Oryza sativa Japonica Group: one gene and its partner. The protein of the gene in region 1 interacts with the protein of each later gene in a pairwise test. Links are inferred from orthologs where the notes say so. Each region holds a gene or a part of one and is shown on either strand. Other genes may lie near its edges.

The links. The genes of interacting proteins can lie anywhere in the genome.
Region 2: the proteins of transcription factor PCF5 (region 1) and N-alpha-acetyltransferase MAK3 interact in binary tests that used the Arabidopsis thaliana proteins (3 or more experiments, as listed by UniProt). The link is inferred for Oryza sativa Japonica Group from reciprocal best matches to the Arabidopsis thaliana genes TCP4 and ATMAK3.

Annotation. Positions count from the first base shown.
Region 1 is NC_089035.1:6,231,382-6,235,494, reverse strand, and holds the start of transcription factor PCF5, read left to right. Parts: upstream 1-1,313; 5' UTR 1,314-1,647; intron 1,648-1,654; exon of another isoform or gene 1,655-1,754; 5' UTR 1,755-2,088; coding exon 2,089-3,465; 3' UTR 3,466-3,567; intron 3,568-3,681; 3' UTR 3,682-4,113. UniProt on the Arabidopsis thaliana protein: Transcription factor playing a pivotal role in the control of morphogenesis of shoot organs by negatively regulating the expression of boundary-specific genes such as CUC genes, probably through the induction of miRNA (e.g. miR164).
Region 2 is NC_089045.1:21,021,687-21,025,863, forward strand, and holds N-alpha-acetyltransferase MAK3, read right to left. Parts: upstream 2,801-4,177; 5' UTR 2,730-2,800; coding exon 2,535-2,729; intron 2,432-2,534; coding exon 2,305-2,431; intron 804-2,304; coding exon 748-803; intron 527-747; coding exon 311-526; 3' UTR 155-310; downstream 1-154. UniProt on the Arabidopsis thaliana protein: Probably required for N-acetylation of some chloroplast precursor proteins and efficient accumulation of thylakoid multiprotein complexes.

The DNA of each region.
Region 1 (4,113 bases):
ATCGTACAACATTATAAATTGGCCTTTTCATTCTCATATAGGGCTGAATTATGTTTTTAGCATTCTTCCCTTTGAGATGTACTACGGCTTACCCATAGCAGCCATGAAATTGAGCACTCCAACTAAGCAGAAGAACTAGGGAAATCTCTCTCTCTCTCTCTCTCTCTCTCTCTCTCTCTCAAAAAAAAAAGAATAAGAAGAATAAAAACTAGGGAAATACTCCCTCCGTTTCAGTTTATAAAACAACTTTGGTCAAAGTCAAACTGTTTCAAGTTTAAATAAGTTTATAGACAAATATAGTAATGTTTATAATACTAAATTAGTTTCATCAAATCAATAATTGAATATATTTTTAGAATAAATTTGTCTTTGGTTCAAAATGTTACTACCTTTTTCTATAAATTTGGTCAAACTTAAAACAGTTTGACTTTGACTAAAGTTAAAACGTCTTATAACCTGAAACGGAGGAAGTACAAGTTTACACTATCCTGTATGTAGATGTGCCAATGAGGGGTGTTTCCTTCTATCTTTTTTGAACAAATCTATGGGCACCATCTCGGTCCCTCGACCCGTTATGTTTTTGGCATCAAATGAACTAAAAATAGCTTGATCTTATTTCCATGCAATGGATCAAACTTGGGGCAAGTTTGGACAATGACGCCACATAAAACCCTCTTTTAGCAAGGTGGGGCTACAAATAAAACACACCATCAATCTATAAACAAGTATCTCAGGGGAAAGGTCTCACATTTGAAACTAATATTGCAACTCTCGACTTTCCAAAAAGGAAAATCATTAACCATTGGCATATACCCTTGAAAAAGCTCCAGTTGCCATCTTACTTGCCTATGCAACTGCCCAACTACAAGAATTATAGTACAAGCACTCTCTAAGAATACCACAAGTTAGCTTCTGAAGAGCATAGATATTCATGTCATGACAAACATGTCTACTGTACAACAAAAAAGAAAAATCGGCTAAGTAGATCACTCCACAATTGTGCGAGTAGATACTAGCGGTTACATATACACGAACGTATATATAAACATAGTTAAAATTGCTATATATTACCATAAAGCTATCGAGATGCGCTTAATTCCTTATCCATGGAGACTAGGGTGTGTGCCTCCGGTTTTTATTTTTTTTCCCAAAGGCACGTACACGTGTGTGTGTTCGAGTTTCATCGCGATTCGATCGTTGTCTACTGTTTTTTAATAATACAACAGATGTCCTAATCATCCACGCATGCATAACCCACAATCCCCCAGCATCATCCATCCCTTCCCAATTCCCAAATCACCACCTCTCTTCATCACTTGGGCTCCAGCCTCCTGCAGCCCCAGCCAAGCTAAGGTAAGCTCCATCTGCTTCTGATACACACACTCACACACAAAGCAGCAGCCAGCATCAGCAGCAGCAGTGTGAAGCAAAAATCTCTATCTCTCTCTCTCCTCACTAAAGCACAAATCCTACTCTTATCATCCTGTCTTCTTGCCTCCCTTCTGCCTCCTGCTCACCAAGCTTCCCACACAAACCCAACAAGAGAGTGAGAGAGGAGCAAAAGCTTTGGCTGGCCGTCCCCCCTGTTAAAATGTGATGTCCAATCCATGGGATTGCGTCTAGTTTAGTCCCCCACTCCTCTCCTGGGTCAGTCCCTCCCTGGCCACCACCTCTTCTTCTTGCAGCCTCCTCCTCCTCCGGGGCCTTCTTCTTGTTGATTCTTTTGATGGTTTTTGTGTTTCTTGTCGACCTAGTTATGGGATCCGGCGAGGTGGATGGACGCGCATTGGAGCAGCAACAGTAGCGGCGGGGAAGAAGGCGGCGGGGGATCTGGATCCGAGGCACCACCACCACCGGGTCACCCACGGCGGCGACGGCGGCGGCGTAGGAGGAGGAGGAAGCGGGGGACAGGAGGAGGCAGATGAGCAGCAGCAGCAGCAGCACGACCACCACCGGCTTCTCCAGCTCCACCACCACCAGGGTGTGCAGCAGGACCAAGAACCGCCGCCTGTTCCCGTCTTCCACCTCCAGCCGGCGTCCGTGAGGCAGCTGTCGGGCTCCTCCGCCGAGTATGCCCTTCTCTCGCCCATGGGCGACGCCGGCGGCCACTCCCACCACCACCAACACGGCTTCCAGCCTCAGCTCCTCTCCTTCGGTGGCGTCGGCCACCACCACCACCTGCATCAGTTCACGGCGCAGCCACAGCCCCCCGCCGCGTCCCACACTCGGGGTCGTGGAGGTGGAGGTGAGATTGTCCCCGCGACGACAACTCCACGGTCGAGGGGCGGAGGCGGCGGCGGCGGCGGGGAGATCGTGGCGGTGCAGGGCGGGCACATTGTGCGGTCGACAGGGCGGAAGGACCGGCACAGCAAGGTCTGCACGGCGCGCGGGCCGCGCGACCGCCGCGTGCGGCTGTCGGCGCACACCGCCATCCAGTTCTACGACGTGCAGGACCGGCTGGGCTACGACCGCCCGAGCAAGGCGGTGGACTGGCTCATCAAGAACGCCAAGGACGCCATCGACAAGCTCGACGTGCTGCCGGCGTGGCAGCCCACTGCCGGCGGCGCAGGCGCGGGCAATGCCGCCGCGCCGCCGTCCTCCTCGACCCACCCCGACTCCGCCGAGAACTCCGACGACCAGGCGCAGGCCATCACCGTCGCGCACACCGCCTTCGACTTCGCCGGCGGGGGCAGCGGCGGGACCAGCTTCCTCCCGCCGTCGCTCGACTCGGACGCCATAGCCGACACGATCAAGTCCTTCTTCCCCATGGGTGGCACCGCAGGCGGGGAGGCATCGTCGTCCACCACGGCGGCGCAGTCGTCGGCCATGGGTTTCCAGAGCTACACGCCTGACCTCCTGTCCCGCACCGGCAGCCAGAGCCAGGAGCTCCGGCTGTCGCTGCAGTCCTTACCAGACCCCATGTTCCACCACCAGCAACATCGCCATGGCGGCGGCGGCGGCGGCGGCAATGGCACCACGCAGCAGGCGCTCTTCTCCGGCGCCGCCAATTACTCGTTCGGCGGCGGAGCCATGTGGGCCACCGAGCAGCAGGCGCAGAACCAGCGCATGCTGCCGTGGAACGTGCCCGACCCCGGCGGCGGCGGCGGCGCCGCCTACCTGTTCAACGTGTCGCAGCAAGCGGCGCATATGCAGGCGGCGGCTGCGGCGCTGGGTGGCCACCAGAGCCAGTTCTTCTTCCAGAGGGGACCCCTTCAGTCCAGTAACCAGCCCTCCGAGCGAGGATGGCCGGAGACCGTCGAAGCCGACAACCAGATGAGCCACCACCAAGGAGGGCTGAGCCCCTCCGTGTCGGCGGCCATCGGTTTTGCCGCTCCCGGCATCGGCTTCTCCGGCTTCCGCCTCCCCGCGAGGATACAGGGCGACGAGGAGCACAACGGCGGCGGCGGCGGCAATGGCGACAAGCCGCCGCCGCCGTCGTCTGTCTCCTCGGCTTCTCACCACTGACCGCAGCAGTGGCGAGCAGATGACTTCACCACCACCAATCCACCATGAGCAAACACCACACCATGTACCAGACTATCAGCTAGCTCCTCCACTTCCATCACGGTGAGAAAAAAAAACCGAGAATTCTCATGGCTAACCTGCATTAGTTCAGAATTTTTCTCGTGTTAGTTAGCTGATCAATCTTGTGCTGCTGGTTTTGGTGTTCTTGACATGCAGGAATTGTCGATTGCATTCGGGAGGAGCAAAGTTTGGAGGTAGCACAAGTGCACTACTACTGATGCTACTACATATCGGTTGGTTGGTTGGTTGGTTTTCCATCGATCTCTTCTGCTGCTGCGCATGTCATTGGTTTTTGTTTCAAGAATTCACTCGGAGCTTCTTAGAATTAGGCTTGTGAGAATGCAGCAACACGATGGCAAGCTTTAGCTTAGCTTAGCAAGCCTCTGTGTCTGTTGGCTGTTGCGTTGCGCTAGGTGTAGTTGATCGATGTAGGTTCGAGCTTGCTTTGCTTTGTTTTGATTTTTACTCTTTTGTTGCTGATGCATGGACATGCTTTTGCTTCCTCCTGTGGGTTCAGGAGCAGTTGCTACTAGACCGATGTTGTTCTCAAAACTGATAAGTGGGATGGTGATGGATTGGGAGAGGAGC
Region 2 (4,177 bases), on another chromosome or scaffold:
TATACTTTTATGTATACATATAGTTTTACATATTTCACAAAAGTTTTTAAATAAGACGAATGGTCAAACATATGCTAAAAAGTCAATGATGTAAAATATTTAGAAACGGAGGGAGTATGTAATAAGGCATTCTTTTTCAACCGTCTAACATGGATTGAAAGAAACATAATGCCATGTCAAATAAGATACTATCTTTGAACACATCAATGTTACAAGAGTTACAGCAAAGCTACAAAAGCATCATCAAACTGACATAAAAGAGCAAAATGCCTTGGATCCTAACTCATCCTATCAATCGACCAGAATGGTATCACAAGTAAGGAGAATCCATGTGCTGGTCATCTCTCTCATTGCCTAGCATCATCATTGGATGCATACCAGGATCAGGGCGAGGAAATAGCAGCTTCAGGCGAAATGCGTCGACGCCATTCAGATAGTATCTGTACAGCCTCTTTGCTCGGATGAAACCCAAACGACCATATAAGGCGAGGGCGCCCTTGTTCGTAACTTCTGCTTCAAGTGTCACCTGGTTGGAGAGTGAGTCAGATATCAAATAATTCAATTTTTGTACTAATTTCACGAAAGATATTATTGTTATTATGGAAATTGCAGATTAGTCTAGGGCATAATTGAATAATCAATGAAGCAATTTTACACCAAGAAAGTCAAGTGATGGGTACCAAAACGACAATAGGATAATAATAAGTTTTTCATCGGGTGAGAAGATAACAACACAGTGGTGATTACCTCCTCACAGCCAGATTCCATCATTACCCGAATAGATCTCGTAACCAATTCGGTGGCTGTACCATGAAGAAACAGAGGGTTAGCTGATAAAGGCCAACATAGTGTCCATTTAATTGCTTATTACAGATAAAATTAAAAAAGACAAATGGGGACCATTTGCAAAAGCAAAGCACTTGTATACTTCAGGAAAGCTATTCGAACTGAAGCTGGAGCTTTCGCAATACTCTTAACAGATGACAAAGCTACCATATACTCTATTCATACATCGAGAAAGGTCATTCATGTCAGGCAGGATTCAACAATTAAAGCTGTCAAGATCCTTGCTGCGAATGTCATTACAGAAACAACAAAGGCAATGTTTTTCAGATAAACAGACTATCTGTACCATTGTACCAAGATATATGTAAATATCAGTGTGCATTTCATGATAAAAGTATTATGAAAAATGTACTCCCCACACAGGATATATGCATTAGCAAGTCGCACCACACCTATTTATTGCTACATCAATTATAGTCAGCACGCTTCCAAGTGTATGACACTAAGAAGAAATCATCTCATGCAAGAAGTTGATGTAACGATAAGGTTAGGCTGCATACTACAACATCAGATGAAGTGCTAAATGGCTCCAACCATAAAGAACTAATCGACCAAAATGCTCTCATGTGCCACAGACTGAATCGCTGAAGCACCCAACACGAGACATCTGTCACAGGGAAAACTAAACATGGGAATATTGGTTCATAACACAATACCTACTCCTACACAAAACTAGAAAACCACCTAAACAAAGTTAACTAACATTTTATCAAAATAATAGCACAAATCTCAATTGAAACTGATGAGAGAAGATTATATAGTTTAAGAGAAGGGAACAATAGAAGGCTATTGTACCCATAAAAGAAATAAAAAAATGCCTTTCCTTTCTGCAAATCAAGCAGGCAAAGAACAAAGAAATCCTACTAAATACTTAACATGGCATCGTTTTTAGAAAACCAGTAACACTTAGTAAGCTAGTTTTCGTTCCACTCTGCTACACAGACATATTTCACTTGCTGATGTTAAGACAAAAATAATACCATATCAACACAAAGCAACTATTACAGAGAAAAAACAAGTAAATGGTAGTGTGAAAGGATCATGAAACAAATTAGACTTATAAGACCTATAGCTAGTAATTTCTTGACACATGTAAAAGTGATACTCAATTAAGTTTGTGCAAGCATAACAAGGGAAAAACACCTATTTAGTACATATGGATATCATATCGAAATCGATGGAAGATTGTAAATCCGTACTAAATCGCCCACCACTCCACCAGGTGCCAGCCATTTCAGATCGAATTGGAACAAAAACTGAAAAACCCTTTGCTTTCCTCCCAATCAGCAGGATTCTTAAGTTCTTATTTAGATTCATGAGTGGTCTACGCTTCCTTTCAGGACAGACTTGTGCAGATACTATCAAAGGGAAGAATATGCTCCCTTTTGAAACAAACCAGTCAATCAACCAATCAAACAAACAGAGAAACTCTTCTTGGAGAATCGAAGGAGGGCTCACCGATTCCCCTGCCGCGGTAGGGCTTGAGCACGACGAGCATGGCGATGTACCCCCTGAAGGCCCCCCTGTGCTCCCCCATCTTGCACACCACCGTCCCCACGCACTTGCCATCCTTGGGATCGAACGCCTTTTGAGGGGTTGTCCCCCAAATCAAATCAACCAAGAACGCATCAAATCCTCACGAACTCTTGTGAAACACGCGCGCGAGGTGAGGGGAGGAGAGGGCGTACGAGGAAGGTGAGCTGGGGCCAGAGGTAGACGAAGTAGCGGTAGGTGAAGATGGAGTAGGGCTCGCTGAGCTCCTCGTCCACCAGCGACATCACCAGCGGGAGGTGGTGCTCCCCGCCGTAGCTGACGTACGCGATCTCTCCGCCTCCGCCCGAGGGCTCGCCCCGCTCGGTGGCCTCCGCCGCCGCCGCCGACATCGCCGCCGCCGCAGGTCGCCGACGAGGTACTCCTGTTGGGGAGAGGCACTTGAACCCCACGCCCGTTCTACAATCTTGACACGTGGCGTCACCAATCTTAAAGCAATCACACCTAAAGACTGGAACATACTCCTATGTACTCCACGTCTCCCCCAATCTTTAGCGAGGACATGTTTAAGATTATTACTACCAAAATAAACCTTTTTAAAATTTAGTCAAATCAAAATTTTTGGTAAGTTGATAAAATTGTTTAAGTTTTGATATGATGGAATAAATGTGATGTCACCAATTTCCATAAACATTATCAATATTTGGTACTAAACTAAATGCAACCACAAAATTATCGATTTACCATTGTAAATTATGGTGTCAGTGTGAAGCCCTAAATCTGGAAGACAAGAAATATGGGACAAAGGGAGACTATTTATAGTGGAATTCCACAGCAACTTGCATTAAGACTCGGAATCCCGGAGAACACGCGGGGTATTCTCTAGTTATTATATATGACGACATCCTCCTATATCCTACTTTTCTTTCCTCCGCATCAAAAATTTGTATGTGGCATTTTCTCTCAAATGCTGACGTCACACTATTGTCCATTCTCTTACCTTTCCTTTTCACTTTCCTTTTTATTAAAAAAAATAACTACCAGACCTTGCCTATTTGTTATATATATTAAAAAAAGTTATGTACAAACAAGAAAAGAATAAAAGAAATAAAATTATAACCATTGTAACCAAGAAGAATTCAGGGAGCTAAGAGAGTCATTCATCTTGGACAAAGAAAGACTTCCATTCCATGAGTAATATTCTCAAAGATCTTCCTATTTCTTTATTTTCAGATATGCCTGCAATAAACATTTTTCCTTTCTTATGAATCTAATTCTTGCCAAGACCAACATGTGAAAGAGTTCTAGGTTATCATTCATTTTTGTACCAATTCTCTCCCAACAATTTCTGCTGCAAGGACAAGAAAAGAAAAAGTTGTATGGGAGTTTCTTTTTCTGTACTAAAGCAAATCACTCATAAAAGGTCGCATCTTCTTAAGGATAATATTTTCTATCAAGCATATTTCTCGTATTTAGCCTATTACAGAATATGAGCCACATGAAAACCTTTATCTTCGTAACACATCTTATCTTTTTTACCCATAAGAATGGTCTTGGAGGTGTCAACTCCACAAAGTTTAGACTAAAATTTTTGGGAATTAGTATATATAGTTGATTATTACAAATGAAAGACCAAGTACCACTCATACTGAATCAAATTGGTTTCGTCTTTGAATACTTATTAAAAAAAGTATCATCCTAAATCGTTTCAATTTAAATTGCATTCATGGCATCACATTTTCAATCCCAGTTTGCTTCGTACGCACACTAGTACAATAATGATTTTTCCATGCGGTCAAAAGCGGTTTTCGCGTGCGGATCTTTCGCCTGTCTGGAACGA